Oryctolagus cuniculus: one gene and its partners. The protein of the gene in region 6 purifies or fractionates together with the protein of the main gene of each other region. This does not show direct contact. Links are inferred from orthologs where the notes say so. Each region holds a gene or a part of one and is shown on either strand. Other genes may lie near its edges.

The links.
Region 1: the proteins of GDI2 (region 6) and RAB1B purify together in Homo sapiens (affinity purification with mass spectrometry; 3 studies listed by BioGRID and IntAct, counting the BioPlex papers as one, with this or other methods). This does not show direct contact. The link is inferred for Oryctolagus cuniculus from reciprocal best matches to the Homo sapiens genes GDI2 and RAB1B.
Region 2: the proteins of GDI2 (region 6) and RAB4A purify together in Homo sapiens (co-immunoprecipitation; 3 studies listed by BioGRID and IntAct, with this or other methods). This does not show direct contact. The link is inferred for Oryctolagus cuniculus from reciprocal best matches to the Homo sapiens genes GDI2 and RAB4A.
Region 3: the proteins of GDI2 (region 6) and RAB24 purify together in Homo sapiens (affinity purification with mass spectrometry; 3 studies listed by BioGRID and IntAct, with this or other methods). This does not show direct contact. The link is inferred for Oryctolagus cuniculus from reciprocal best matches to the Homo sapiens genes GDI2 and RAB24.
Region 4: the proteins of GDI2 (region 6) and RAB5A purify together in Homo sapiens (affinity purification with mass spectrometry; 3 studies listed by BioGRID and IntAct, counting the BioPlex papers as one, with this or other methods). This does not show direct contact. The link is inferred for Oryctolagus cuniculus from reciprocal best matches to the Homo sapiens genes GDI2 and RAB5A.
Region 5: the proteins of GDI2 (region 6) and RAB8B purify together in Homo sapiens (affinity purification with mass spectrometry; 3 studies listed by BioGRID and IntAct, with this or other methods). This does not show direct contact. The link is inferred for Oryctolagus cuniculus from reciprocal best matches to the Homo sapiens genes GDI2 and RAB8B.

The regions. Positions count from the first base shown.
Region 1 is NC_091432.1:5,574,359-5,579,213, reverse strand, and holds the start of RAB1B (ras-related protein Rab-1B), read left to right. Parts: upstream 1-1,698; 5' UTR 1,699-1,834; coding exon 1,835-1,848; intron 1,849-3,345; coding exon 3,346-3,418; intron 3,419-3,651; coding exon 3,652-3,747; intron 3,748-3,825; coding exon 3,826-3,921; intron 3,922-4,855. Other genes in the region: KLC2 (kinesin light chain 2), read left to right, coding at 1-38, 192-249, 379-462. UniProt on the Homo sapiens protein: The small GTPases Rab are key regulators of intracellular membrane trafficking, from the formation of transport vesicles to their fusion with membranes.
Region 2 is NC_091444.1:90,047,144-90,051,841, forward strand, and holds the start of RAB4A (ras-related protein Rab-4A), read left to right. Parts: upstream 1-1,410; 5' UTR 1,411-1,680; coding exon 1,681-1,711; intron 1,712-4,698. UniProt on the Homo sapiens protein: The small GTPases Rab are key regulators of intracellular membrane trafficking, from the formation of transport vesicles to their fusion with membranes.
Region 3 is NC_091437.1:63,301,805-63,306,252, forward strand, and holds RAB24 (ras-related protein Rab-24), read right to left. Parts: upstream 2,829-4,448; 5' UTR 2,456-2,828; coding exon 2,339-2,455; intron 2,258-2,338; coding exon 2,189-2,257; intron 2,007-2,188; coding exon 1,928-2,006; intron 1,824-1,927; coding exon 1,756-1,823; intron 1,667-1,755; coding exon 1,567-1,666; coding exon of another isoform or gene 1,541-1,566; intron 1,384-1,540; coding exon 1,333-1,383; intron 1,229-1,332; coding exon 1,166-1,228; intron 1,059-1,165; coding exon 994-1,058; 3' UTR 704-993; downstream 1-703. Other genes in the region: PRELID1 (PRELI domain-containing protein 1, mitochondrial), read left to right, coding at 3,101-3,192, 3,745-3,970.
Region 4 is NC_091435.1:155,566,126-155,570,933, forward strand, and holds the start of RAB5A (ras-related protein Rab-5A), read left to right. Parts: upstream 1-1,842; 5' UTR 1,843-1,857; intron 1,858-1,904; exon of another isoform or gene 1,905-2,039; 5' UTR 2,040-2,351; intron 2,352-4,808. UniProt on the Homo sapiens protein: The small GTPases Rab are key regulators of intracellular membrane trafficking, from the formation of transport vesicles to their fusion with membranes.
Region 5 is NC_091443.1:86,224,608-86,229,502, forward strand, and holds the start of RAB8B (ras-related protein Rab-8B), read left to right. Parts: upstream 1-1,672; 5' UTR 1,673-1,777; coding exon 1,778-1,901; intron 1,902-4,895. UniProt on the Homo sapiens protein: The small GTPases Rab are key regulators of intracellular membrane trafficking, from the formation of transport vesicles to their fusion with membranes.
Region 6 is NC_091444.1:79,671,847-79,675,970, reverse strand, and holds part of GDI2 (rab GDP dissociation inhibitor beta), read left to right. Parts: intron 1-2,938; coding exon 2,939-3,110; intron 3,111-4,124. UniProt on the Homo sapiens protein: GDP-dissociation inhibitor preventing the GDP to GTP exchange of most Rab proteins. By keeping these small GTPases in their inactive GDP-bound form regulates intracellular membrane trafficking.

The DNA of each region.
Region 1 (4,855 bases), on a different chromosome or scaffold from region 6:
CTGCAGGGGGGTGGCCCCCAGGAACCGCCCAACCCCAGGTGAGCCCCTAACCGAGCGAGCCCCTCAGGACCACCCTGCTAAGCCCCTTGAGCCCCTGCCACCCGCCCAGGCCCCACCCCCGGCGCCAGGGCGGCTCCCCTCCCCCACCCTGCCCCAGCTCCCCCGCAGACCAGGGCGCCCTCTTCCCTCAGGATGAAGCGGGCCAGCTCCCTCAACTTCCTCAACAAGAGCGTGGAGGAGCCAGCCCAGGTAGGGGCGGGTGGCCGTCTGTGCCCCGGGCGCGTCCCTGCCCGCCTGCTCGGGCCTGTGCGACGGTGGGTGCCAGCGTGCACGCAGCCCTGACCCGCAGGAGCTCACCAGGGCCCCCTCTGTCCGCAGCCTGGCGGCGCGGGGCTCTCTGACAGCCGCACCCTCAGCTCCAGTTCCATGGACCTCTCCCGACGGAGCTCCCTCGTGGGCTAAGCCTGAAGGGGCAGCCAGTTGCCAGAGCCGCCCCCCGGCACAGCCCCAGCGCTCGCATGGGCCCGCTGCTCGTCCCGCCTGCCCAGCCCCAGGACCCCTGTCTTTTCTGTTCAATCTCAGGGTAACCTCCCCGCGTCGTCCCAGCCTGAGCCCTGGAGGCCGGCCTGGCTGCCCAGCGCTGCCCCGTATTTATTCTCTCCAGCAGAGCCCCTTGCCAGGCCCGTGGGAGGGGCTGGCTGCTCGCCTCGCCCAGATCCGGAGCCCGGAACACTAAGCCCCGCCCTCCCCCGGCCGTTGCTTCTGTATATAGAGAAATAAGTTATTGGCCGCGCCCCTGCCCTCCGTCCCGGTACTCCCGGCCCTTCTCTAGTGGTACCGCCCAGGCCTTAATCACCCCCATCGCGCGCGGAGTATCTCCCGCGAGCGGCGCCGCCCCGCAGGGCTCCCTGACCTGCTCCCGCCCCTCCCGGCCTCCAGGGGACGCCACCAGCTCGCCATCGCCCGGTGTCCCGGGACGGAGAGCCCGGAGCCCTCCTCGCCCGCCGGCCCCGCGCCGCGCCCGGCCTTATGCACTGCCCCGCCGGGGCGCCGCCTCCGCGCCTGCAGCTTCCCGCCGGGGCCGGAGGGCTCCCCAGCTGGGGTGGGGTGAGGCGGTCGCGCCATTTTCAGATGTAACTGGAGAAATAAAGACGTTTGAATCTGTGCTGGGCTTGTTTTGAGACGGAGGCCGCGGGTGCCCCAGGCTGGGATGGGTGGGAGAGGCTGCGCGTGTCTCCCACGGGGGCCAGGCCCTCTGCCCCAGCCCAGTTGTGGGGGGCGCTGCTCGGCTCGGGGTTTCTTCGAGAGCCTTCGCTCCTTCGCCCCAGACGGCCCGGTCTTTAACGAGATCGGCCGTCCTCGGGTTTGACCTTGAGCGAGTTTCCCGAGCCCCGGTTTTTTTTTTCCACCTATAAAACTAGTGTGAGGACATCCTCCTGGGCCCGTGGCTGTGCGTGAGGAGCTCTGACTAGTGCATGACCGGCGCCACCTTCCCACGCAGAGCTCCCAACCTGGGAGCCGAAGAGGGAGAAGGCGGGTGCGCCAGCCCGAGCCGTCCTCGGCCCGCGGCTACCAGGAAGCGGACTACAAGCTCCAGAAGGCAGTGCGCGGCAGGACAGGCGTGGGCTCGCAGCGACGCCTGCGCCGTGGGGGGTGGCGAGTCGGGCACCGTGGGGGACTACAAGTTCCAGTAAGCAGCGCGGCGAGGCCCCTGTCGGGACCGTGTGCGCCTGCGCGTCGCGGGCGGGGCCTCAGGGGCGGAGCGGCCACCATCTTGGAACGGGAGGCGGAGCAGAGCCGACTGGGAGCGACCGAGCGGGCCGCCGCCGCCGCCATGAACCCCGAATAGTGAGTGAGCCCCGCCCGCGCCGTCTGGCGCAGCCTCGGTCCCGAGTACGGGGCTGTACGCGTTCCGGAGTTGTCTGGCCCGGGTCAGGACTGTGCGGCGCCCCCACATCCGGGTCCCTCTACCACTGACACCCCCCCCCCACACATACACACATCCGGGTCCCGCCCCTCCCCCCGGGGGCCCAGGACCCCGTCTTGACACCCCCGAGTCCTCGAAGCGGGGGCCCGAAGCGGCAGCCCCAAGGGCAGCGCTGGGAGCCGCGCGGCCGGCGCGCAGGCCTCCGCGGTCAGGTGACCCGGCAGCCCCGGCGTCCCCAGGCCTCAGTTTCCCCGGCTGTGCGGAGCCTGTCACGCCGGTTTCTGGGTTCAGACTCGGCTCTTTTGGGTCGGGCTCTTGGCGAAGAAGAGCAGCGCCTGGGGTGTGGAGCTTGGCGGAGAGGGGGCTCAGAGCCCTGGAGGCAAGCGAGAAGCGAAGTCGATTAAGCCCCGCAAAAGTGCGCTCGGGCGGGATCCGAGCGGCCCAGCCCCTGGGCGCGGGGCGGTGGTCCTCCGTCGTCTGTCTGAACCGAGAGGTGCGGCTCCCGGAGGATGGGCAGGGGGCTGCCCGGGAAGGCGGGGCGCGGGCTGTCCCGGCGGAGTCGGGATTCCGGCGTGGTGGAGGAATTCCTGGAAAGCGTGGGGAGCCCGTGTGAGCCCCCTGCGGCCGTGAGGATTTCGAAGGTGGCTCGGAAGGCCGGCTTCCACGTTGTCTCTGCGGCCCCTGGAGTGCAGGTGTGCCAGCCCTGGGGCCCTGCCCGCGCCCGCCTCCCCGGTCTGGGGCCGAGGCTGGCCAGGCGCAGGGCCCGGGGCGGCGCTTGGTCCCGTCTCCCGCGCCTCGCGCTCGCGGGGTCTCCCGCGCCTCGTCCCGCCTTTGCCACCCTGCTTTCGCTGTCCCGCTGCTGCCGGGCCCGGGCGCCGTGGCGCGGCCTTTGCCTCGCGGCGCCGGCTCTGGGCCTCGCTGCCGGCTCGGCTCTGCACTCGGACTTCCCCGCGGTGCGCTCTGCTTCCTCTCTGCCGCTTCCCTCTTCTGCCCCAGCTGGAGGCTGCAGGTTTCCCCGGGCAGCGCCCCCCGGGCCGCGGTGCGGGGTGGGTGAGACCCCGCCTTGGGGCCCCCTCGCAGCTCAGTCTCCTCCCTGGCCTGGGGTCTCTTCGTGGCGACTTCAGCTGTGCGCGCAGCTTTGTCACTGAGCAGGTTCCGGGCTGAGCTCAGCTTTCCCTCTGGGGCCTGCCCTGCCAAGCCACTGGACGGGCCGGGAAGGTCTGGAGTCCTGGGAAAAGTCCCAGCGGCGGCACCGGGCTCTGGTTCACAGCATCCCGCCCTTCAGCGCCCGGCGCCCTGTCGCGTCCAGGGCAGCGCTCCCCCAGCCAGGCCTGGCGGGAGATCTGGGGGGCCGCGGCCGCGAGCCCAGGGTGGCAGCAGTGCGCTGCCTGCCCTCACACTCTCTCTTCTCTTCCCAGTGACTACCTGTTTAAGCTGCTTTTGATCGGCGACTCGGGCGTGGGCAAGTCGTGCCTACTCCTGCGGTTTGCTGTGAGTAGAAGCTCCCGTCCCCCAGCCTGGGGTCCCAGCTGGCAGCGGGGGGAAGGGCCCCCCAGAGCACAGTGGCTGCGAGACCTGGGGACCCAGGGTGAAGTCGTGGGACCCACCAGTCACACATCAGACTAAATGGCACAGGGCCCAAACGTTGGGGTGCTGAGAACTGGGGCTCCCCTGTGCCCCACTGGGGCCCCGTGGCTGAGGCGCTGCGCTGGCCCCGGCCCTAGGATGACACGTACACGGAGAGCTACATCAGCACCATCGGGGTGGACTTCAAGATCCGCACCATCGAGCTGGACGGCAAGACCATCAAACTCCAGATCGTGAGTGTCGCCCGAGGGCCCCGGGGAGGGGGCTGCGGCCTGGGCCGCGGGCCGACTGTGCTGCTCGCTTGTCTGCAGTGGGACACAGCCGGCCAGGAGCGGTTCCGGACCATCACCTCCAGCTACTACCGGGGGGCCCACGGCATCATCGTGGTGTATGACGTCACCGACCAGGTACTCCGGGGCTCCCTGTCGCCAGCTGTGCCTCCCTGCCTTAGTCCGAGATTCGCACGTCATCCTGGCCTCTGCCCTGACAGGGGACTGACTGTGTGCAGGCTCACGTGCAGGGAGGCCAGCCTTCCAGAACCCTGATGCAGGGGCTCGGTGGGACCAGGCCGCAGCTTCCCCTCCGCGCCAGACTCGCCCCTCGGGGTTTTAGTCAGCTGGGTGGCCGCGGTGCTGGACCTGTGGCTTCCTGTGTGAGACAGGGGCGGCACTTGGAGGGCCCTTGACCAGGAGGCCCGGGAGCCCGGTGTGAGCAAGAGCCCAGGCTGTGCGTCTGCTCTCACGCCGCTGGCAGCAGCCGGAGACGGTCTGTCCCCTTGCGACACTCATGCGAGGGCTGTGTCCCAGGAGGCCGTGGGCTCAGGACGGCGGGGGCCCTGGGCGAGTCCTCCAGCTTGTGGAGGGCAGGGGCAGGAAGCGCAGTCTTTCCCTCCCCCCCCGCCCCAAACCTGCCGCTGCGTGGGGTCCAGCCCCAGGCGGAAGGGGTCCCTGCTCCCAAGGGCAGCTGCTCTTTTTTTAAGACTTATTTATTTATTTATTTGAAAGACAAAGTTGGCAGAGAGAGAGAGGTTTTCCATCCGCTGGTTCACTCCCCAGATGGCCGCAATGGTAGGAGCTGTGCTGATCCGAAGCCAGGAGCCAGGAGCTTCTTCTGGGTCTCCCTTGTGGGTGCAGGGGCCCAAGGACTTGGGTCATCTTCCAGTGCTTTCCTGGGTCATAGCAGAGAGCTGGATCAGAAGTAGAGCAGCCGGGTCTCGAACCAGCGGCCATTTGGGATGCCGGCACTGCAGGCGGCGGCTTTACCCTTACGCCACCACGCCAGCGCTGGGCTCTGGCAGCAGCCGCTTCTGAGCTTGCCACCTGCCTGGTTCTGGACAGCAGG
Region 2 (4,698 bases), about 10 Mb from region 6:
CCGTTACCTGTTGCCCTCGTCTCTGTCGTTAACTCTGCTTCTCCGACGCAGGAGAAGGAGGCGAATCCTGTACGCGTCCCCCCTCGCTGGCAGCCCTGTGGAGCTCCCCGAGTTCCTCCTCCACGATGCTGCCACGGAACTGGGGTCGAACCTCCAGCCCGTTCCCGCGCCCGTCGGAGGACGTCTGGAGCACCTGGCGCCTCATGGCTGAGTAGGAAAGAAATCGCTTCATTTCTGAAGCGGACGGCGGCTTTCCGCCACCTCCGGAGCCCAAAATCCGAGAAAACGAGCCGTCTGGCCACCACGTCCCCGCAAGGCAGGTCCGCGGTCTCCAACTCCTCAGCTCCGGATGACGGTCGCCGAGCAACCGCCGCCATGCGCCAGTGGGCGGGGCCGCCGCGCACGCGCAGAACCTCCCACCTCCCCCGCCCAGCTGCAACCAGACTTGGGTGGGTCTTTGCTAAGGAAAAACATCAATCATTTGAAAAGCAGTGTTTATACTCAGCTGGAGATAGAGTGGCTTGAAACTGCAGAATTCTGAAGGCCTACAACGCCTCTGAAAATGTCTAAAAAAAAAATGTTTCAGCTCCTTATCTTTCAGTTTATTTCCCTTCCACATCACCTTTGTTCCACTTGTTATATATTAATGTTAGCCGTCGCAAAGCACACCGGACACCGGAGTAAGGGAAAGGGTTTACTGGAGAACACCCTACAGACCGGAGTGAAGGGGCTGCGAAGGAAAAAGAGAGAAAGAGAATATAAGAGAGAAACAGAGAGGAGAGGAGCTAGCAAGGAGAGAAGATAGAGCAGAGCCAAGAGAGAAGAACCAAGAGCCAAGAGACCAGAGGAGGAGGCTAGAGAGAGGAACCGAGAGAGAGCAAGAGAGAAGGGCCAAGAGAGCAGGGAGCAGAGCCCAAGAGAGCACGTGTTCAGGAACAGGCCCTTTTAAAACTTTGCCTGAGGGCGGGCAGGGAAGCAGGAGCAGCGAATCCCATTAGGATGGGGGTGGAGCCTGGCTCAGGTAGCTGGGCCATGTGGCCACCTGGCTAAAACTGTGCCAGTTTCCTAACACTATCAAAGTAGGCAGGTTCCATACGAAGCGGTAGCTTCTGACTCCAGATTCCTGCTAATGTGCCCCCCCCCGGGGGGGGGTAGTGGAGATGGCTCCAGTTACTGAGTTCCTGCCACCCACATGGAGACCCGAATTGGGATCCTGGCTCCCCTCTTGGCCTCAGCTCAGCCACCGCCCTTGTGGACATCGGGGGAGTGAACCAGTGGATGGAAGCTGTGCGTATTGGCGCGCGCCCTGTGCGCCCGCGCGCGCCTGTGCGCCTCGCCCGGCCTCCCCATGCGCACGCGCGGCCGCGGGAGGGGGGGCCTGGCTCCTCCTTCTCCTCCTCCTCCTGCTCCTCCTCCTCCAGCTCCAGGCCCGGGCCGGAGGAGGGCCGAGGGCCGAGGGCCGTGCGCCTGCGCGGAGCCGGAGTCCTATAGGGCCGCGGCGGTGCGGGTGGGCGGTTGCCTTGGGGACCGGTCCGGCCCCTCCCTCCTCGGGTTCCCCACCCACCCCGCTCCACGCCCCTCGCCGTCTGGACGCGCGGCACACAGACCTCCCGGCCCTCCCTTCCCGCCGCTCACCCCAGCTGCAGCCGTGACCCGGCCAGAGGCCGTGCCGCTCCCAAGATGTCGCAGACGGCCATGTCCGAAACCTACGGTAGGAGGCCCGGGGGACGAGCGGGCTCGGGTCTCTGCGGCGTGGGGACCCGAACCTGCGCTCGGGGAGAGGTCTCGGGGGGCGTCGGGGGCTCGGGCCCGGGATCTGCGGGGAGCGCGAGCGTTGGGGCCGCGGGCGGGGGGCTCGGGGGTCTCTGGGTGGGAACGCGAGGCTGTGAACGGCCTGTTTACGTGATCTGCTTTTCCAAGTTTCCTCCGCGCTGGTACCCTGAGTGTTTTTCCTCTCTGGGTAGCTTGAGATTCGCCTGCGGCTGTGACGTTAGCCCCTGCGAAGGGGGCGACTTCTGGATTTCAGCGAGCTCCTCGGGATGTTCCAGTTTTGACCTTTTCGGATTTGGATTTACTGTCTTTGCCGTGGGATTAAAGGAGGAGTTAGCAATAGATTAATCTATCTCTTCCTCCCAGATAACTCTTGCTTTATTTATAGCCTCTCTAGGTTGCATTTGGCTAGTTACAAGGGGGCTCGTCTATTCTTTTAAGATCGTAAACGCCTTGGAATCGGCGCCTTGTTAAAAAAAAAAAAATTTTTTTTTCTGTCCTGCATAGTCAGGATCAACAACTTGTACCTTTTATTAGTGTTGAGTAAATGTTTATCAACCCGGACTCTTTCAAATGTGTACAGTCTCAGATTAAGACTTTGATTTGGAGTTTTACAGCCCCAGGGAGAGGCTCAAATTCAAAAGAAAATGTATCCCTCAAGCCAGATCCGCCTGTCACCATCTGTCCTGGCCTGCCGCTCCTTCCCGGCAACAGATAACGTGTGCAGGGCATTAGGGGAGCAGGCGTCAGGCTTGGAAGGCTGTGAGCTCCTGGAGACACAGCAGAGGCGGCTCTGGCCGGGTGGAGTTTGCCTTCTTGGCGGGGAGTCCCGTGTGAATCCGGTTGGGGTGCTGCTGAGTGAGTCCAGGCCAGGCAGGAGCCCTGAAGAAATGTGCCTGTTTGTTAGGATGAGAGCTGGCCCGCACTGGGCAGTCAGACGGTCACCTGGCAGGTGCCCAGACCTGTGGAAAAGGCATTTCAAGCAGGGCGAGGAGAGAGGGCCTGGTGGGAGGTTTCCAGCTCCCTCCTAAGACAGGTGGTAAGCTTGCAAAGGTTTCTGCTCCAAGGTCGAGGTGCAGTGGGGCCGCTTTAGCGATTCTTGTGACTGGCACTGCCCTGTTCTTGGTGACACTGTAGCATGGCCGCTGTTCTTAGAAGGCCTCGGAAATCTTCCAGGAAACCTGCTGGGTTTGTCAAGACCAGCGTTGCCAGAGCTGCCGGGTCTCCTGTGAGGGGTGGCCATGCGCTGCTCTTCTTCCCATGGAGAACTGCAGTCAGAAATGGCTTTAAAACATTATCTCTCTGCTTATTTGAAAAGGCAGAATTACAGAGGGAGAGGGAGAAATCCTCCATCCGCTGGTTCAGCTCCCCAAATGGCCACAACACCCAGTGCCGGGCCATGCTGAAGCCAGGAGCCAGGAGTTTCATCTGGGTCTCCCATGTGGGTGCAGGGGCCCAAGCACTTGAGCCACCTCCCGCTTTTTTCTAGATACATTAGCAGAGAGCTGGAAGTGGAGCAGCCGGGTCTCGAACCGCCACCCAAATGGGATGCTTGTGCAGGCAGCAAGGCAGCCCCCCAAAAGTATCCTACGGAAAATGTGTTCCAAGCAATTTGTGGTTGTATCTTTGCAGTTGTTTATATGCAAGTGCTTATTTGTCCACCCCTCCCCCATTTTTTTTTTCTTTGACCTGGGTAAGCAGCACTAGATAAGGCTGAAAAGTCTTAATGAGGGAACCATGGGGAGGTTGTGAATTACTAAGAAAGCATGGGAAGACCTTGCTTTCATTTTCCTTGTGTGAAGTGGTAACAGCTGATAGAATACAGCCCACCTTTGCTTGCCCTGCCTCACTCTGCACAGGGATCTTGGAAGTTGCAAGCCTCACCCAGGAACTGGTTAAAATCCTGATGCTCAGGCTTCGGCCATTAATGTTCTTATTTCATGCACTTTCAAAAAAACAAGCTTTCACTATTTACTAATTGTGAATTTAGTATTTTCTAAATGAGACATAAAGAGCCAGTGCCGTGAATGCACTGTTAGTGTGCGGGAGCCACCTGCTCATGAGCACGTTAGAGCAGTGTTCCACTTCCCATAGACCTGAGTCGGGTCCAGCCCTGTGTTGTTGGGAAGCCACTAACCACAGGAGTACAATGCTGTAGTGTATGTCATACTGTAATGCACAGTTGAAATGCTAAACAGATGTCAGCGTGGACCCTTCAGTCTGAGTGTCACTAACCTGGAACAAGGTACTCCCACATGTGTTTAGATTCAAGCGATCCAAAAGTGCTGGCCCGTTAGTGTTGCCCGGGACTCCCCCATGGAACCCCTCTGAGACCCAGGAGGCCACAGTTTGGCGGTGCGTGATTCCTGGTGCCAAGAACTGATGCTAGTGCTGAACTGTAAATGTGGAGGGGAAATGCCAGGCTTCTTTTTTAAAAATTTAAATGCTAAGGCAGTTTAAGGAGAAATCCGAGACAAATCTCTATAGAAACACAGCTCAAGTTGCTGGGCCCATGCCAACTTAATTACATTGTCTTCCTTTTTTTTTTTTTTTTTTTTAAGATTTATTCATTTATTTGAAAGAGTTACACAGAGAGAGGAGAGGCAGAGAGAGAGAGAGAGGTCTTCCATCCGATGGTTCACTCCCCAATTGGCCGCAATGGCCAGAACTGCGCCGATCCGAAGCCAGGAGCCAGGAGCTTCTTCCAGGTCTCCCACGTGGGTGCAGGGACCCAAGCACTTGGGCCATCCTCCACTGCTTTCCCAGTCCATAGCAGAGACCTGGATCGGAAGTGGAGCAGCTGGGACAGGAACCGGTGCCCATATGGGATGCCAGCACTGTAAGCGGTAGCTTTACCTGCTATGCCACAGCGCCAGCGCCCCTCGTGTTTTTATTGTGTGCCTTATTTTGGAAACAGCATGGTATTGG
Region 3 (4,448 bases), on a different chromosome or scaffold from region 6:
CCCTAACCCATGAGCCTTCAGAGACACTTGGACCTTTAAGGCCTGATACCTTTGGGAGAACCTCGGGAGTCTGCTTCCTGCCTTTCCAGCAAGAAGCTGTCAGAGGAGGAGTATGGGAAGAGCATTTGGTACCAGAGTTCATTTTCCCCTAGGATGCTCACGGTCCTGAGCTGGGGAGCAGCCCCCTCATCTTACAGAGGAGTAACTCAGGCTGAGTGTGTGGCTGCCTTTCTAAGTAGCTAGCTGGGATCCAAATCTGGATCCATGAGACCTTTCTGTCTTGCAGAACTGAATGACTTTCCTTCCATTAAGCCACACTGTGGAATGTCTGGGAAGCTCAGGATCTGAACAACAGGCCTGACTCACAGGCCCAGGCACGACAGACGCGGTCAGGCCTACCAGGCCCCCTTATTATCTAAGCAGGGCTTGCCCCTGCTGCACAGGCTGAGTGCTCTCCTTGCCTTCCTCTGCACCTAGTAGGAATGGTGAGCTTTGTAGTGCCCCGACCCCAGCCTCTCACTGAAGAACAGCAAAGAACCTCTTGTTTCTCCAAGGGCTCCTCTGCAACCCGGGGCTGAGGTTCCTTGGTTTCCAAAGGAAAGTAAGAGATAGGAGGAGCCTTAGTATAGAAGTGAGGCCAGGCCGGTGCTCTCAGAGCTAGGTGTCTTGACACCGGGTCCACACAGCAGGGAAAGGGGCTGAGTGTGAGTCACAGTGCACTGACTTTATTTACAGATCAGAAGCCACTTAAGTAATCTGCAGATACAAGTGTTGTCCAGGGCAGAAGCCTGGGGTCCAGATCGGTCCTTAGCCCTCCTCATGCCCACAGCCAGCCCACACTGCCTCCGTTCCATGGGCCAGCACAGGCCGGTGCCACCTCTGCTGCCATGGGGACCTGGGGTAGCTCAGACGTTGGACCACCTGAGCCCAGACAAAAGCTGGGTCCAGCCCCCTGGGGAATTCCACTATTCCCCAGGCCAGGTGAGTGGCGAGTCAGTGATGACAACAGCTGTAGAAGTAGGGGTTTGCCTTCTGGCCCAGATCCACGCCCTTGTCCTCTGTGAAAGAGAGGTGGCAGCTTAGCACCTAGCTCCGTGGACGGGGTCAGGCGGGGCTCGGCGGGGCTCGACGCCCCGGCTGAGAGGCGGTCCGGGGGAGCACACACCTGTCATCACTTGGAAGGCAGCCACGCTGACGTAATCCTCGGCCACTTTCTGGAAGAGCTCGTCTGACAGGAAGAGAGGGCCGGTGAGGGCCCAGAGGGCTCGTCTACTCTACTGCCTGGGGTGCCCCTGCCCGTTCCTGCTGCGAGGCCCCAGGACCAGCACTCACCCACACTCTGGCCTGTCTTGCTAGACGTTTCAAAGAGCTGAGCTTTGATATCTGTAAAGAGAAGTGACGAAGCCTCACACCTGAGAATCCAGTAGACAAAGAGGGAGCCTAGCAGTTCAGAGTCTCCCAGACCCCAAAGATGCAAGGAAGCCAAGCAGGTACCTTGCCTGTAGCCCACCCAAGCAGCCACTCCCCGCCCGCATCCCACCCCCTCAGGGGCTGAGCAGCAGCTACTGTCTGCATAGTCCTGGACATCGTGGAAGTCCACACGCCGCCGCCGCCGGTCCTCCTCCAGCAGGTCGCTCTTGGTGCCACACAGGTAGATCTGACAGCCCTGGAGCAGAAGCCAAGGTCAGGGTGGGCTCCACGGACCCACTGAGCTCCCACCCCCAGGCCCCCATCCAGCCAGGTGTGGCCACCCACCTCCTCCAGGCTACGCAGCTCCTTCACCCAGAACTTGGCTCGCTCAAAGCTGTTGCTGTCCGTAAGGTCTTGGCGTGGGGCATGCAGGAAAGGCGAGCGAGGGTCAGGGGTTGTTCTGAGGCCCGCCAGGCACCCACACCTTGCTTGAGGAATAGGCCAGAACCCCTCTTACCATAGCAGACGATGGCAGCCTTGGCGCCCCGATAGTAGATCCTGCTCATGGCCTCATAGCGTTCAGAGCCTGCTGTGTCCTGAAAATCAGGGGAGGACTGAGCCCCGGCCTGGGTTACCAGGCTAGAATCCCCCATGACTGCAAAGCAAGCCCCAGCCTCCAGAAGGGGAAACCAGGGCCTGGGGCTGGGCAGTGGCCTCGGGGGCCCAGGTCAGAGCCCCCCTCTGCAGACCTCGCGAACGGGGTGCCCAGGAAACTTACCCAAATCCCTAGAGTCACCGTCCGATCTCCTACAGACATCACCTTGGCCACGAAGGCAGCCCCGATGGTCTGCAACGAGGGGCAGGCGGTCAGGTCGGCGGGAGCGTGCCGGCCCCTCCCCGCGCGGCCGCCCCGAGCTGGCGCACTCACGTTCTGATAGGGCCCCACCAAGAAGCGGTCGTGCACGTAGCGCTCCACCAGGCTCGTCTTGCCCACGTACTCCTTGCCCAGCATCACCACCTTGAGGTCCACGCGGGGCCCGCTCATGCTCCTGGGGCCGCCTCACCCACGGCGGGGTCCTGAGGCACACCCGACCTCCGCTCGGCCCCTAACCCCACGCGCTAGCCCGGCGCTCGAGGCCCCGCGTCAGGCCAGAGCTCGGCCCCCGTCCTCCCCGTCTGCCTCCGCTCTTCTGCCTGCCCCGAGCGCCGGGTATCTTCGGAGAGCCCAAGACCCCGGCCGGCCTGCGAGCGCGCGGGCCAGCGAACCTTGGCCGCGCCGCACGCCGCCGTCCCGCGCTCGCCCTCCGGGTCGCCCGCCCGCCGGCCCGGCTGGGACTCCCGCTCGGGGTAGGCTTCCCAACTGAACCCGGAGTCCCCCCTGAACCCTGCTCTGACCCGCAGCGAGCGCCGCGACTCCGGAGGGAGGGGCGCTAGGCCGAGGGGGCGGAGCCGAGAGGTCACGTGGACGGCGCCGGAAGTGGTGGACTGTGCCGCCGCGCCGGAAGTGGCGCGCGGCTGGCCAGCTCCTCATGGCGGCGGCGGGCAGCGGCTTGGGCGCGGCGCGGAGGTGACTGACCTGAGCTGCGAGCCTGGCGGGCGTGCGCCGAGCCCCGGCCCGGCCTCCGCGTGCCCCCGGGCTCCGCACGCCTGATGCTGTGCGGACGCTGAGTCCGCCCCGGCCGGACTAACGATGGTGAAGTATTTCCTGGGCCAGAGCGTGCTCCGAAGTTCCTGGGACCAAGTATTCGCTGCCTTTTGGCAGCGATACCCGAATCCCTATAGGTACGTGACTCTGGGAAGAGCAACCCCCGGCACCATCTCCGCCCTGTCGAGATCGAAGTGCGGGCGATCCCCCCAAGTAATGGGGCTAAGGGGAACCGCGGATCGAGGCCGACATAGGGCTTTCCGGAATCGTGACCGCCTTAAGGGCAGCAGGCCTTATCTAGGAAGTGGCCGGGCCGGACTCGGAAGGCCCTGGGAGGTGGCTGGGCCTGGGCACTGGTTTGCCAAGGCCCTCTCTGTGGACGTTGGGACGGGAAGAGACGGCCGCACGGGCCCTGGGAGGGATCTTGGGGCTGCAAGTCAGGCACTTGCCCATGGGTCTGCCCGTGCAGGAAGTCACGAGGCCCCGCCCTGCCGGGAAGCCAGGAATCCAGGTCAGTGAGGTAGGGCAGCAGTTGGAATTTGCCCTGGGATAGTCTGAGCCACAGCCCAGATCACTGGGCGAGATTGCAGGGGTGGCGCGCTGGGCAGGGCTGCCCCAAGTGGGAACCCCAACGGGGAGCTTCCCTGGGGGCAGGTTCCCGATGGTCACCTGCACTCTGACACCTGCAGCAAACATGTCTTGACTGAAGACATAGTCCACCGGGAGGTGACCCCTGACCGGAAGCTCCTGTCCCGTCGACTCCTGACCAAGACTAACAGGATGCCCCGCTGGGCAGAGCGACTATTTCCTGCCAATGTTGCTCACTCGGTGTACATCCTGGAGGACTCTATAGTGGACCCACAGAATAAGACCATGACCACCTTCACCTGGAACATCAACCACGCCCGGCTGATGGTGAGACCTCCCCGGGGCCCCTACCCCCACCCCCCGAAGCACACTGCTCAGGAGCAGGTGGCTAGGGAACCGAGGCAGATTCCTGAGGACCGGGTGGCCCGGAGCCTGCCCTGCCCCTGCCCTGACTCAGCCGTGCCCTGGGGGAGAGGCACCTGTTTCAGGAAACTGCGTGACGCGCCTTTGGGTGGGGCCTGCAGGAGTGATGCTGAGGGTGGGCGTCCATCAGATGGCGGCCTTGCGTGCACCTCGGGGAGCGGCTATGGCCCCTTGCTCCACTTTCTTTTTTTTTTTTTTTCTTTCAAGATTCATTTTTTTTTATCTGAAAGGCAGAGTTCCATCTGCTAGTTCAGTCCCTAACTGGCCGCGATGGCTGGGGCTGGGCCAGTCTGAAGTCAGGAGCCCAGAGTTGCTTCCAGGTCTCCCCTCCCAAGTGCAGGGGCCCAAACGCTTGGGCCATCTTCTGCTGCTTTCCCAGGCG
Region 4 (4,808 bases), on a different chromosome or scaffold from region 6:
TGTGTAACTCTGACTTTCAAATAAATAAATAAAAAATTTTTTTAACAAGAATGCTTCTATGGTCCAGGCATTTGAATTAGTTCTCAAATTTGGGGATTTGAGGATTTTTAGAAACAGAATGGCCAGTGCTTTATGGGGAAGAAAAGAAGAGCTGAAAATGATTCTGTAGTTCCAAGTCTGGGTGACAGAGGTTCTTAATGGCACTGAATAAACAATGCAAACAGGCTTGCAGTGGAATAGGTTTGGCTTGGGACATGCTATTGACATGACAAGACTAACATGACATATCCTATTTCCTGATTCTTTCTGGGATCGTCCTAGAGCTATGACCATGACTTATGCAACATCAGAACAGGCCTTTCAGGATGCAGTGCCACAGATACCATTCACAGATGCCATATTATGCTCTTCTAGTAACTGGGGAGGTGCTGAAAGACGAGCTAGTTAGTCAAGGGTTCAAATCATCTTCATTGCACAATGTTGACCGAGCACTCACAGGATACCTTAGCCCAGGTACACTCCAAAGACAATATTCATGCCTTCACAGCAGGACTGTAAGTTGTAAATTATAAACTGCAAAGCATCCCTTATTCTGGGGAAAAAGCAACGATCAAGGGGAGAGGGGTTGGTTTTAGACGCTTTCCAGAAACTAACTATGATCTGGGATTTTACCAAAGCATGCTTAAGAGGATCTGCTGCAGAGGGCAACAACCAGCTCAGGTTGTGGTCTTTCACCGGAACTTTGTATAAGAACTGACATTCTGGGGCCAGCATTGTATTGTACGCAGCACAGAGGGTCAAGGCACAGGCAGCAGGTTAAGCTGCCACTTGCAATGCTGAGTCTCCTTTTGAACAGCTAGTCTGAACCCAGGCTGCTCTGCTTCCAATCCTTATTTACTAATGCAGGGGATGATGGCCCAAGTACTTAGCCCCTGATACTCTCTTGCGAGACCAGGAAGGAGCTGAAGCCTCTTGGCAGCATAGGCCAGGCCCTGCCATTGCAGCCATTTGGGAAGTGAGTCAGTGGATGGAAGAAATATTGTTACTCTGCCTTTTGAATAAATACATCTTTAAAAAGAATTCCCAGTCTTGTACAAGTTACACAATCTCTGTGCTTCGAGCGCGTTACCTGTAAAGCAGGCACGCCTCATTCATTAATCCCAAAGCCATGCCTGAAGATTCTTAGCTGCCTGGCCACGTGCTAGCCAGGTTCACAGAGGTGAGGACCAGTTTGGGAAGTTAGTGTTAATGTGCCCACACGACGATTCACAAGCTGGTTTCACAAAGACTTGTACCTACTGTAAAACGTTTAGTACTGTAACTCCCAAAGGGAAATCTGAACAACAGGTTTGCTTAACATGTACCCTACCAAAAACAGGTAAGCGCTTCTTACGTGCCAACTGTTTTAATGCTTTGCCACTAAAGACGGCTTTAGGATGCAGAGGGTCCTAGCTTCCTGCCGGCGGTACAAACGACTTACCTTCCTTTACAGACACACCTGGCCTCAGGGACACAGTAGGCGTGTCTCCTGTTACAACCTCCCTCAAAAAAACCCCTTAGGCCAAGTCACCAGGATTGGGGTGGTGCGGGGCGGGATGGAGGGGACTGTGAGCTCACACTTACAACAAAGGGCTGGGCGCAACAAACTCAAGCGCCTTAGGTCTTCCCCCAAAGCAGGGCAGCACGGGATACCCCACCCAGCCCCAGTCACAGGAGCCCAGAGGCCTCCGCCCTGCTGACAAAAGAGCTGCGAGGGCGCGGTCGCGCGCAACCGGCGTGGCGCAGACACAACAAGGCAGTAAAACCCGCCCCAGCGCAGAGCCACGTGACAGCCCGCCGCGCCCCGCCCCCTCCCCGGTAGGGCTGGGTGCGCCTCGAGAGGGGCGGGGAAGCGGATGGGGCGGGACGGACTGGCGCCGACCGGAAGTGACGAAGCGGCGTCTCTCGCTGCGCGCAGCGACGTGGCGGCGGGGCCGGCGCCCGGCTGCGGAAGTGGCTCCCGCGTTGGGACTTGAGTGTTTGTGTTTTGGTTCTTGAAGGAGCCGGCGGCCGGCCTGAGGGGAGGAGGCGGAGGAGGGAGGAGGAGGAGGAGGAAGAATTCGTCGGAACTTGAGCGCCGGCGGCGGAGGAGGAGAAAGGAAAGAGAAAGGCGGAGCGCGGAGAGGCGGAGACGGAGCCCGGCAGGGGCGGCACCACGGCTCCAGCCCCGCACGGTCCGGTGTGAGGCGAGCGACGCGAGGAGACGCCGCCGTCGCCGCCACAGCCTCCGCTTCGCTGCCGTCCTTCGGGCCACGCTTGCTCCCTGCCGCCAGCAAGCTGCGGTGCCGCGGCCCCGCGTGCCGCAGCCGCAGGTAACCAGACCAGCCTTCCCCTGTGCAGAGCGGGTCTGGAGCTGGGCTGAGCCGCGGTCTCCATCCTGCCCGCGGCTGTGCGGGCGGCGGGGCCCCCAGCACGTCCTCCCCGACTTGCGCCCGTCTCCGGGACCACAGAGCTACCGCACCCGGGCCTGTCGGCCTGCCAGCCCTGGTGACTCATGCCGCCAGGGGTTCTGGTGGAGACCGCGATTTGGGGACTGGGTGAGGGAGCCGACGGGTGTCACCCTCTTCCCTTCTCAAGATGGCGCCGCGGAAAGAGTACCGGAGGCCGTGGTTCCGCCCGGCCTCTCCAGACAGCCCGGGGGTCCCAGGGAGAGCCGTGCAGGTTTAAGGGAGGAGGGTGGCGGGACGGCCCAGAGCCCTGGCGGGTACTGTTTGTTCGGGCGATCCGGAGTCGGCTCTCAGCTGCTCAGGTGTTGCAAGCAGGGACCGGGGCCTAGGGCAGGTGTGGATCTGGGGAGCTCCGCCTACCTTCGAAAGATGGGTAATGGAAGGGCTGGGAGGCTCAGCCAGACAACCGCTCTGGAGACTGGCAGGTGGCGAGCCGCAGCTTTAAGGAAATTAAAGGTAACTGGGCCGCCGTACAGCTCCCTTGGTGGGTAAACCAGGAGACCTGCCCTGATGCTGTCTTCCCTGGGAACTGGTCAGCCCCTCGAGACTTTCAGACTTTTTAAGCTCCTAGCATCCTAGTTTACGTATTTGATTTTTTTTGGCCTGGCTTAAGTGGAATCAAACTGTTACACTACTCCGGGAATATTCTGGACTCCTCAGAAACTTTGTTCTTTTCACTGTCGAATGCAGATAGTTTGAACACTTAGGGTTGTTGTAAGCAAAGTACTTGGTAACCATGCCAGGCACAGAATGAGTACCCAGTGATTTTTTGATCAAAGAGGACCTAAAAAGAGCAAAAGAGCACTACAGAACACTAGTTATTTCCAAGTTTAAAAATGCATACAATGCAAAGTCCTTGTTTGGCAAAACTGGGAGAATTCTCAGTAAGTGTGAATACGAGTAAATGCACGCAGTTTTTACCTTGTTAATATTACGCTGTTTTTGATTTATTTCCTGTTAGAGATCCTTGTAGCATAAGGATTCAGTGGCTTCAAAACTTAGAAGGCAAACGTAAATCACAATTTTGCTTGACTTTTTTATGGGTGTCTGGTGTTTTCCCTAAATTTTCAGAAGTACTGTAGAAATTCAGAACATGGTATCCTTGATAAATGATCAGCAGTTTTGTAGATAAGAGGCTGTTGGGAAGTGTTTCAACTATGTTTATTCCTGAAAGCGAATTGGTGCGTTTTCTGCCTATACGACATTCTATTGGTGTTTGACATGTAACCAAAGGGCCACTTTAGTTGTCCATTCAAACCCTGCTGTATGATAGGTACTGTATTAGAGATTATATATATTGTATCACGTGATTAACTGGCAACTATGCAAATTATGTAGTTTGAAAATTAAAAAATTGGCCCAGACAGAAATTGGTACTACCAGGATTAAACTCCCAAGTTTACTGTGTTTGGGACAGTATGGGGAAGTAGTTTTATTTGTACCTTATGGTGTGTGTTCGTTTGTTTTTAAGATTTATTTATTTGAAAGAGTTACACAGAGAGAGGAGAGGAGAGATCGAGAGAGGTCTTCCATCCGCTCGTCCACTCCCCAGATGGCTGCAACAGCCTAAGCTGCGCTGACTCAAAGCCAGGAGCCGGGAGCTTCTTCCTGGTCTCCCATGAGGGTTCAGGGGCCCAAGGACTTGGGCCATCTTCTGCTGGTTTCCCAGTTCATAGCAGAGAGCAGAATCAGAAGTGGAGCAGCCTGGACTCGAACCAGCACCTGTATGAGATGCCAGCACTGCAGGCGGCAGCTTTATCCTCTATGTCACAGTGCCAGCCCCTGTACCTTATGTTTGGAAGCAGCTTAAACATCATTTCATCTGTAAATATATCAGCATGTACTGTTAAAGACGCTTCAAAGCTGGAGTTTTAGATAAAGCCAAGAAGTGAACTTAATTGTCTAGAATTAAGATATCAATATATTAGTGAATTGTCAATAATATGTCTCATAAAAACTAAAATTTTATAGGGAAGGCGAATTTCTTATATGAGGTAACTCAGTGAAGTATAGCTACATTTTTAGAGAGGAAATCATATTTAGTATATTAGTAAGCATATAATCATATTTTTATTAAAGATGTGAATAGGTTGAAAAGTGCTCTTCAAATATTTGCTAATTCCTTTGAAATTGAAAATTAGCACATTTGGGAGCCTTGGTTGTGGTTGTGATGTAGCAGGTAAGCTGCCACCTTCAGTGCCAGCATCCCATATGGGTGCCTGTTCAATTCCTGGTTGCTGCACTTCCCATCCAGCTCCCTGCTGGGAAAGCTGGGAGGATGGCTCAAGTGCTTGGGCCCCTGTACCCACGTGGGAGACCTGG
Region 5 (4,895 bases), on a different chromosome or scaffold from region 6:
GAGTCTCGCTTGCTGTTGCCTTGGCAGAGCCAGACCACGTGATTTCATTTCTCATGCGCCTTACAGGTGGGGGCTGGAAATTCCCCACCCCTGAAGGGTAGGTGTCTGGGCCAGTGTTTCTCAAATATTTATCATTGTTGATCTCAAGACCCCTTTATTCTCTTAAATATCTTTGTGGATTCCAAGGAGCTACTGTCATGTGGGTTTTACCTGTTGAATTTGCCGTTTTAGACATTTTAAACAAAATATTTATTTTTTATTTATTTGAAAGACAGAGTTACAGAGAGGGGTAGAGAAAGAGGTCTTCCATCAGCAGGTTCACTCCCCAAATGGCCACAATGGCCGGAGCTGGACCTATCCAAAGCCAGGAGCCAGCAGCTTCTTCCAGGTCTCCCACGTGGGTGCAGGGGCCCAAGGACCTGGGCCATCTTCCACTGCTTTCCCAGGCGCATCAGCGGGGAGCTGGATTAGAAGTGGAGCAGCCAGGACTCAAACCTGTGCGCATATGGGATGCAGGTGCTGCAGGCCCCAGCTTTAACCCCCTACCAACAGCGCCCACACCCCTTTTAGAAATTAAAACTAAGGTGGGAGGAGAGTGAGGAAGCCCCTCCAGGATGCAGCTCCCAGGCCGGGCCTCCCTAGCTTCTCTCTTCCACATTACCTGCACCAGTAAACTCCCCTTTCCAGGAGGGGTTTCTACCACGAGCGAATTAAAGAGGACTCAGTAGTGGATTCATAAAACGGAGGAATGAGTCAGACGATGTGCAATAAAGAGTTGAGTCGCATATAACAGTATTCCCTCGTCATTTGTCACCAATGAGTGATGGGGGATGAACGGAACAAAGTGCTTTCACTTTTTTTCAGGATCTCATTTAATGTTCTCTGCACACCTCCAAAGTAGCATGTTTTCAATACACCTTGCCGCCGTGCAGCCCGCGTGCCTTGTCACAGCAGCTAGGAGACGGAGCCCAGACGGAAACAAAGTCTTATCCTCTAAATTCTCAGGACACGAGGCCCGAAATTTTGCAGGGCGCAGATGTGTGGCACGAGCCTTCTCGGATTTGCAGGGCGCAGGGAGCGGCCTGCGTGGCCCATGCTCTCCGGGAGGAGTAGACTTTGGCTCTGGCCTGAGACGTGGAGAAAGGGGCCAGAGGAAGGTTCCGGTGAGCACGGGGGTCTCTCCCGCCCAGCTCCGGGGCCGAGGGGCTGCGGAGGGGGCGCAAGGGCATTGCTGCGGATGCGAGCCGGGGGAGCAGACGAATAACACACCCGGCCCAGAATCGCAGGCTGCGTCCTGGCAGCCCCGAGGAAAACGAGCATCTCCACTCAGGGTCCCGGCGGAAGAGATGTGGGAACTGCGAGACAGATTCCGCACACAAAGAAACAACGGAGTTCCATTCCGGCGGCGCGACGAGAGCAGAGTTCGAAACGGAGCCTCCCTTCCCAGCTCCAGCGGCACCGCCTACTCCACCCGGTCACCCCACCCAGACATCTTTTATCTGCTGGGGTCGCTTGGACTGTCCGCGCTGGGCACGCCCGAGCGCCCCGCCAGAGAGACTACAAATCCCATGAAGCCCCTGGGGCGCGGGCGGTGATGACGAAGCGTTCGCGGATTGGCTACGCGGGGCGGGGAGCGCAGGCCTTCTCCGAGGGGCGGGGCGGGGCACGGGGCGGGGCGAGTGGCGGCGCGGCGGGCACGCCCCCTCTCCCGCGGCCCCCTCCTCGCTTCTCCCCGCCGCCTCCTCGAGCTCCCCGGTCAGAGGGCCGGAGCGAGAAGATGGCGAAGACGTACGATTATCTGTTCAAGCTGCTGCTCATCGGCGACTCGGGGGTGGGCAAGACCTGCCTCCTGTTCCGCTTCTCCGAGGACGCCTTCAACACCACCTTCATCTCCACCATCGGTGAGGGAGGGGCTGCGGCCCGGGACGGGGGTGAGACCTGGAGGGTGGGTACGAAGGGGCCGGAGGGACGACCGAGGGGCTTGGGAGCCCCCGGAGCGGAGACCGCGGGGCGGCGGGAGCCGTGCGAGAGGGCGACAGCGTGAGGGAGAGGGGCGCGCGGGGGACGTGCGCCCTGGGCGTGAAGGGGGAACTTGGGGGCCAGGGCAGGGGAAGGCGAACCCGAGGAGCCAGGACTGGGAGGACTGGGGCGACGGGGGCGCGCGGGGGCTGACAGGGAGGGTCCCAGCGGGACAGAGTGAGGAGGGGACACGGGGATCCCGCGGAGAGCGAGAAGGGGCTCGTGGATGTGCGAATGGATTAGAGGGCAGGAAAGAGAAAGGAAATGTGAAGGGGAAATGGAAGGGTTGGGGGAACGAGAGGGGCGGGCAGAGGACACAAGGGACGGAGGTGAGGACCCGGCGGGGAGAAGGGGGCTGAGGGGAATGAATGATCCGGAGGGGAGGGCGCGCGCGGGGGGGTGGCTGCAGAGGTGCGGGCAGAGATTGGGGGGCGGGGGGAGGCCGAGGAGAACTGCAGGCAGGAGAAGAGTTGCGGGGAGGAAGGGGGGATGAGGCTACCTGGTTGGAAAAGTAAAGGCGGGCGGGGTGCGGGTGGAAAGGGAACGCAGCAGCGGGCAGGCGAGGCGGACAAGGTGGGCAGTGAGAGGGGTGCGGGACTTCGCGGTCTTACTGGGTGCTCCGGCTTACCGTCGTCTCTGCTGCTTTGGGTCCAGTGCAGGAGAAAGCAGAAAGTGACTACTGATGGAATGCTATCTGTGGAGCATTGAGTTGTTCCCAGTGTGCACGGGCGTTAAGGGGATTGCTGACTTCGGGGAGTGATGTGGTCAGGAAAATAGGGCTCGCCCCTTCTTGTCTCCTGAGAAGCAACGCGGCTGGATTTTTTTTTTTTTTAATTGGGAACTTGAATGCTTAACAACTTCTGAACCAAGGAATTGATCTTGCTTTCTGTTGCCACTCTGTATATTTTGTTTCGGTTCTAATGATGACTTGTTAAATCAATCACAACCTGCAATATACCGGTACCCCAATTACTTCCAACTGATGCAACACTAATTTTTTCCTCCCTTTTTACTGGAAGAAATGGGTTCGGGTAAAAAGATCTCTAACTTATCAGAAACTGAAAAGCGGAGCGAAGTTGGTTTTACCCGGCTGTACAAGCGTCCTTAACCTCACTTCTGTAGTTAAATGGCTACAGTAGATTAAGTACTTTAAGAATCGGTTTTGGGCCGTCTGGGAGATGTTTCTGGCCTCTAGAAGTAGCTAATTTAGACATCTCTTAAATGGTTCTTAAAATATTTCTCTGCATGAGTTTCTGGATTGGGAAATAATGGAAAGCTTGTACTTTGGTAATAAGTGTGTTTATGTACTTGTGTTTGTGAGGATAATTGCCTTAAAAAAAAAAAAAAAAGTACCTGAGTATGGAGCCCTCTTCAGTTCAAGACCGAGAGAACCTACGGTTTGCTGCTTGACTCCGGCCTCTTTCGTACGGATTGAACAGCCTGAAACCTCCTTGGTGTTGTGATGTCTGGGCGTGGGGAAGTTTGAGTTTGCAAGTTCTTGGCAGTCAGTCTTGAGTGGGACTTTTTCTTTTCTGAGGAAGCAGATTCTAAATGTCATCTCTCAAGTGTTTTCCTAAGAGATCTGGTGGGAGCTGATACAGCAACTGACGGCGTTAACGTTGGACACGGGCACTCCTTCCAAAACCCCCACGAAACTCCATCCCACTGATGAGCGCACTCTGCAGTGCAGACCGTGAGCTTTATCACGCGAGTGGGTGGCCTTCCGCGCTTCCTGTGTGTGACCCTCCCAGAGGCGTCCTCCCGCCTGGAGAGTGAGCAGATCTCTCGGATGCTGTCCCTGCCGAGCTCCTGGGATAAGTTTTGGTTGCTTCGAGTAGTTTGGTCAGTTTTCTCTTTTTTTCCCCTTCATTTTTGTCCCACATTTCCTGTAAGGGTATCTTCTTCATTTCAAAAGAGTAGCTTTAAGAAATTACTTTTCATGAGATTTTTTTTTTTTTTTTTTTGTGATGGAAACGAGGTTCTTTGGAAGATTGAGGCTGTTCAAGCCTGAAACCCAGTGTCCTCTGACAGTTTAGAAGAGGAGGTAGGCGTTCATTGGGGTGCATCTCCTGGGAGCTGTGGGTCTTTGTATTTTCTGCGTGGTGGAGATGGTAAGAAGAGGCCATGGGCCACGTCTTCGTTTGATGTGGAGGAGGGGAAAAGCCCATGCCTCTTATTTAGTCCCAGAGCCCCAACAGGAAGTGGTGGCACGCTGCTGTCTTCAAATAGCAGAATTTATGCTCCTAAACCGTAACGCTTTGTAGTTGAACTGAAGTTGGTCAGGTGAGTGGTGAGACCATTTCAGCAAAGTGTCCGCTTGACTGCAAACACAGACATGGACATAGTCCCATCTCTAGCAGCCATATCCATTTGCCCAAGTCTCACCCCATCCACAGGTGACTACACTGCAGAGGACACAGTGGGCGGGCCACTCCCTCCCCAGCTCCTGTGCTGTTCTCAGCAGGCTGGACAAGGCCCACCCTAGTGCAGCTGACCACACTTAATGAGCTCGTCCACGTCACAGGAAGCATCCCCTCGGTCATAGCAAAGGTCTGGTTCTTTACACCTAGGCTTGGAGTGTGCGTTGTGCTAGATAGAGGTGTGTGTCTGTGTCTTGCCATGAAGATACGTTTTAAGCTTAATTGTGCTTTGCAATGTTTAAATCGTTTTTAACATGGGAATCTGCCATCTTTAGACAACTGTTTTGATAGGCGTTCTGTCAGCATGAAAGGAAAGAGACAATTAGTCATTTGACTCCAAATACACTTGTCTCACACTTTCTTCTCATTTCTCTGAGATCTTGCTCTTTTCTCTGAAATAGCTCCCTCATTTCCTTCCTGCTCACAAGGGTGGTGGAAGGTAGATTTTCTTTCATC
Region 6 (4,124 bases):
AGTACTCCAGAGTTTTATCTATAGTTTTTATATTAAGTTATGAAGATACCATTTTCAGAGGTGAATTGCATTAGTGTACTGTATATAAACACTGAAAATATATAAAGTATACATAAAATTTACCATCTTAAACACTTAAGTGGGGACTGACACTGTAGTATAGTAGTCTAAGCCTCCACCTGCAGCACCGGATCCTATATGGGCGCTGGTTTATGTCCCCCTGCTCTTCTTATCCAGCTTCTGTTATGGCCTGGGAAAACAGAAGATGGCCCAAGTGCTTGGGGCCCTGCACCCTCATGGGAGACCCAGAAGCAGCTCCTGGTGCCTTGCTCCAGCTGTTGCAGTCACTTCGGGAGTGAACCAGCAGATGGAAGACCTTTCTATCTGTCTTTCCCTCTCTAACTCTACCTCTCAAATAAATAAAATATAAAAAAAAATTTTTTTTAAGTGAGTCACTGATTTTAAATATATTCATAGATGTTTTTGTATAATTATCACCGCAACCCAAATCTATAACTTTTTTTTTTAATTATTTATTTGAAAGATAGAATTAAAGATCTTTTCATTCACTGGTTCACTCACTACTCAAATGGCTGCAACAGTTGAGGCTGGGCCAGGCTGAAGCCAGGGGCCAAAAGCTTATTCCAGGTCTCCCTTGTGGGTGCTGGGACCATTCTTTGCTGCTTGCCCAGGCACGTTAGCAGGGAGCTGGATTGGAAGTTGAAGAGCCAGAATTCCATCCTGCACCCGTATAGCATGCAGGCACTTCAGACCGCAGTTTAACTTGATGATCCACAGTGCTCCCCTACAACTCTTTTCACCTTGTAGAACTGAAACTCTACGTATTAAACAGTAAATATTCATGATAAATTCCATGATTATGACTGCTAAGTATTAACAGATAAGTGGAATCATATACTATTTGGTTTTGAATGGTTTATTTCACTTACTGTAATGCATTTAAGGTTTTACCTGTGTTGTAGCATGTGTCCTGTTTAAGGCTAAAATAATATAAGGAGAATTCATAAACTTCATGGGAATAAGAAAAAGCTATGAATGGATTTTGAAATTTTTGGGCCAAACCAAATTCAGCTGTTAATCCCTTTTCCCATAAACACTTTGAAGTACATTTGTATTCCATTGTGTGGATATATACTATTTTTTCTTATTTATCTATCATTAGAACATCTGGGTTGCTTCCATATTTTAGCTTTTGTAATGCTGCTGTGAATGGGTGTGTAAATAAATCTCAAGCTCCTGCTTTCAGTTATGGGTTTATATGCAGGAGTTGAATTGTTGGATCATATGGTAAGTCTTTTTTAGTATTTTGACAAACATTACTGTTTTCCATAGAAGTATACCATTTTTACATTCCTGTCAACAGTGCATAATTTCTTCACATTCTTGCCAACATTTTTTTTTTTTTTTTTGGACAGTGAGAGAGAGAGAGAGAGAGAGAGAAAGGTCTTCCTTTTGCCGTTGTTTCACCCTCCAATGGCCGCTGCGGCCGGCGCACCGCGCTGATCCAAAGCCAGGAGCCAGGTGCTTCTCCTGGTCTCCCATGGGGTGCAGGGCCCAAGCACTTGGGCCATCCTCCACTGCACTCCCTGGCCACGGCAGAGAGCTGGCCCGGAAGAGGGGCAACCGGGACAGAATCCGGCGCCCCAGCCGGGACTAGAACCCAGTGTGCCCGCGCCACAAGGCGGAGGATTAGCCTAGTGAGCCGTGGCGCCGGCCCTTGCCAACATTTTTGATAGTAGCTATCCTGATGAGTATGAGATGTGGTGTATCATTGTAGTTTTGATTTGCATTTCCCTAATGATTAGTGATGGTTAGCATCTTACATATGCTTATGAGCCTAATGTCTTTGGGAAAAGATACATTCAAATCCTTTCCACATTTTTTGAATAAGGTTGGTTTTTTTGTTGTTGGGATGTAGTAGTTCTTGGTATAATATGGATATTAATCCATTATCAGGCATATCATTTGCAAATTTTCTCCCATTTTATGGGTTGCCTCTTTATAGTGTTTCTTGATACACAAAAATTAAAATATTTGTGGGATCAAATAACCCATTTCATTTTGTTGTGTCCAAGAAATTTCCAAATCCAAGGTCTTGAAACCTTTGCCTTATGTTTTCTTCTAACAGTTTTATGATGTTAGGTCTCTTGATCTATTTTGATTTTTGTATATGGTGTTAGACAAGAGTTGACCTCATCCTTTTACATGTGGATACAATTTCCATATAGTAGCATTTGTTGAAATAGTTATCTTTTCTGTAGACTGGTCTGGGTACCTTTGTCAAATTATTTGTGGATAAGCAGGTTTATTTGGGGCTTTCTTTTTTGTTACATTAGTCCATATGCTTTTATGTTAATTCCACACTGGACTACTGTAGCTTTTTAGTGAATTTTCAAGACTTGTTCAATATTGTTTAGGTTATTCTTAAATTCAATTCCTTGAGAATCAATATACATTTCAGGACAGGTTTTTGACATGTTAACAGTATTAACTCTTCCAATCAGTTGTTTCCATCAATTTGTCTTCTTTATAAAGTTTTTTTTTTTTTTTAAAGATGTATTTATTTACTTGAGACAGGGTTACAGAGGGACAGAGAGAGACAGGTCTTCCATCCGCTGTGGTTCACTCCCCAAATGGCCTCAATGGCCAGAGCTGGACCTACTGAAGCCAGGAACCGCTGTGGTTCACTCTCCAAATGGCCTCAATGGCCAGAGCTGGACCTACTGAAGCCAGGAACCAGGAGATTCTTCTGGATCTCCCATGTGGGTGCAGGGGTCCAAACACTTGGGCCATCTTGTGCTGCTTTTCCAGGCCATCAGCAGGAAGCTGGATCAGAAGTGGAGCAACTGAGACTTAAACTGGTACCCAGATGGGATGCCAGCACCACAGATCCAGCCCCTTCAATGTTTTCTTACAGATTGCTCGCTGTAAGCAGCTCATCTGTGACCCCAGCTATGTAAAAGATCGGGTGGAGAAAGTGGGCCAGGTGATAAGAGTTATCTGCATTCTTAGTCATCCCATCAAGAATACCAACGATGCCAACTCCTGCCAGATCATTATTCCACAAAACCAAGTCAATCGAAAGTCAGGTGAGTATTGAAGACCAGCAGATGTTTATAAGATTTTGTTAGATGTAATTTACATTGGATTTCATCTGAAATTCCTAATTTTGTATGCTGTATTATAGTGAATAGACTTAAGTGTACATGTGGGGGACATGTGATACTTTCAGCTTCTAGTGATCCTGCAGCTTACGTTGTTGACTAGGAGCCTTATCTTTTTTTTTTTAAAGATTTATTTTATTTATTTGAAAGACAGAGTTACAGAGAGAGGCAGAGGTAGAAAGAGAGAGAGGTCTTCCATCCATTGGTTCACTCCCCAGATGGCCGCAATGGCCAGAGCTGTGCCAATCCGAAGCCAGGAGCCAGGAGCCAGGAGCCAGGAGCTTCCTCCAGGTCTCCTATGTGGGTGCAGAAGTCAAAGCCCAAGAACTTGGGCCATCTTCCACTGCTTTCCCAGGCCATAGCAGAGAGCTGGATCAGAAGAAGAGCAGCCAGGACTAGAACCGGCGCCCGTATGGGAAGCCAGCGCCTCAGACCGGGGCTTTAACCCGCTGCGCCACAGCGCTGGCCCCAGTGCCTTATCTAACACTTGTTGCATCTCTCTGGACCTTCGTTTCCTTCCTTTTGGAATTAATGGACTAGACAAGGTAAACACAAAAGTCCCCATTCACAGTAGGTAATTGTTGAACTGATTACACTGTTTTTGAGCTGATGACACAGCTGCTTTTATACAAACACTTATTTGATTTTAAAAATGTGCTAGAAAAATTTTATTTCTCTGATTCATATCAGGAATTGAGTTTCAGCCCTAAATCTTGCCTGTATTATAACTATTATTATTATTTTGCATTTAAGGTTTATATTAAAACAGGCAGTTCCCTGGATTTGTGAAGATCTTAAAAAAATATATAGGGAGTCTGGTACTAATTTTTTAAGATTTACTTATTTGAAAGGCAGGGTGACAGAGAAAAACGGGGAGAGAGACTGATTTTCTGCCTGCTGGTTCACTCCCCAAAGTGATCACAATGGCCAATGCTGGGC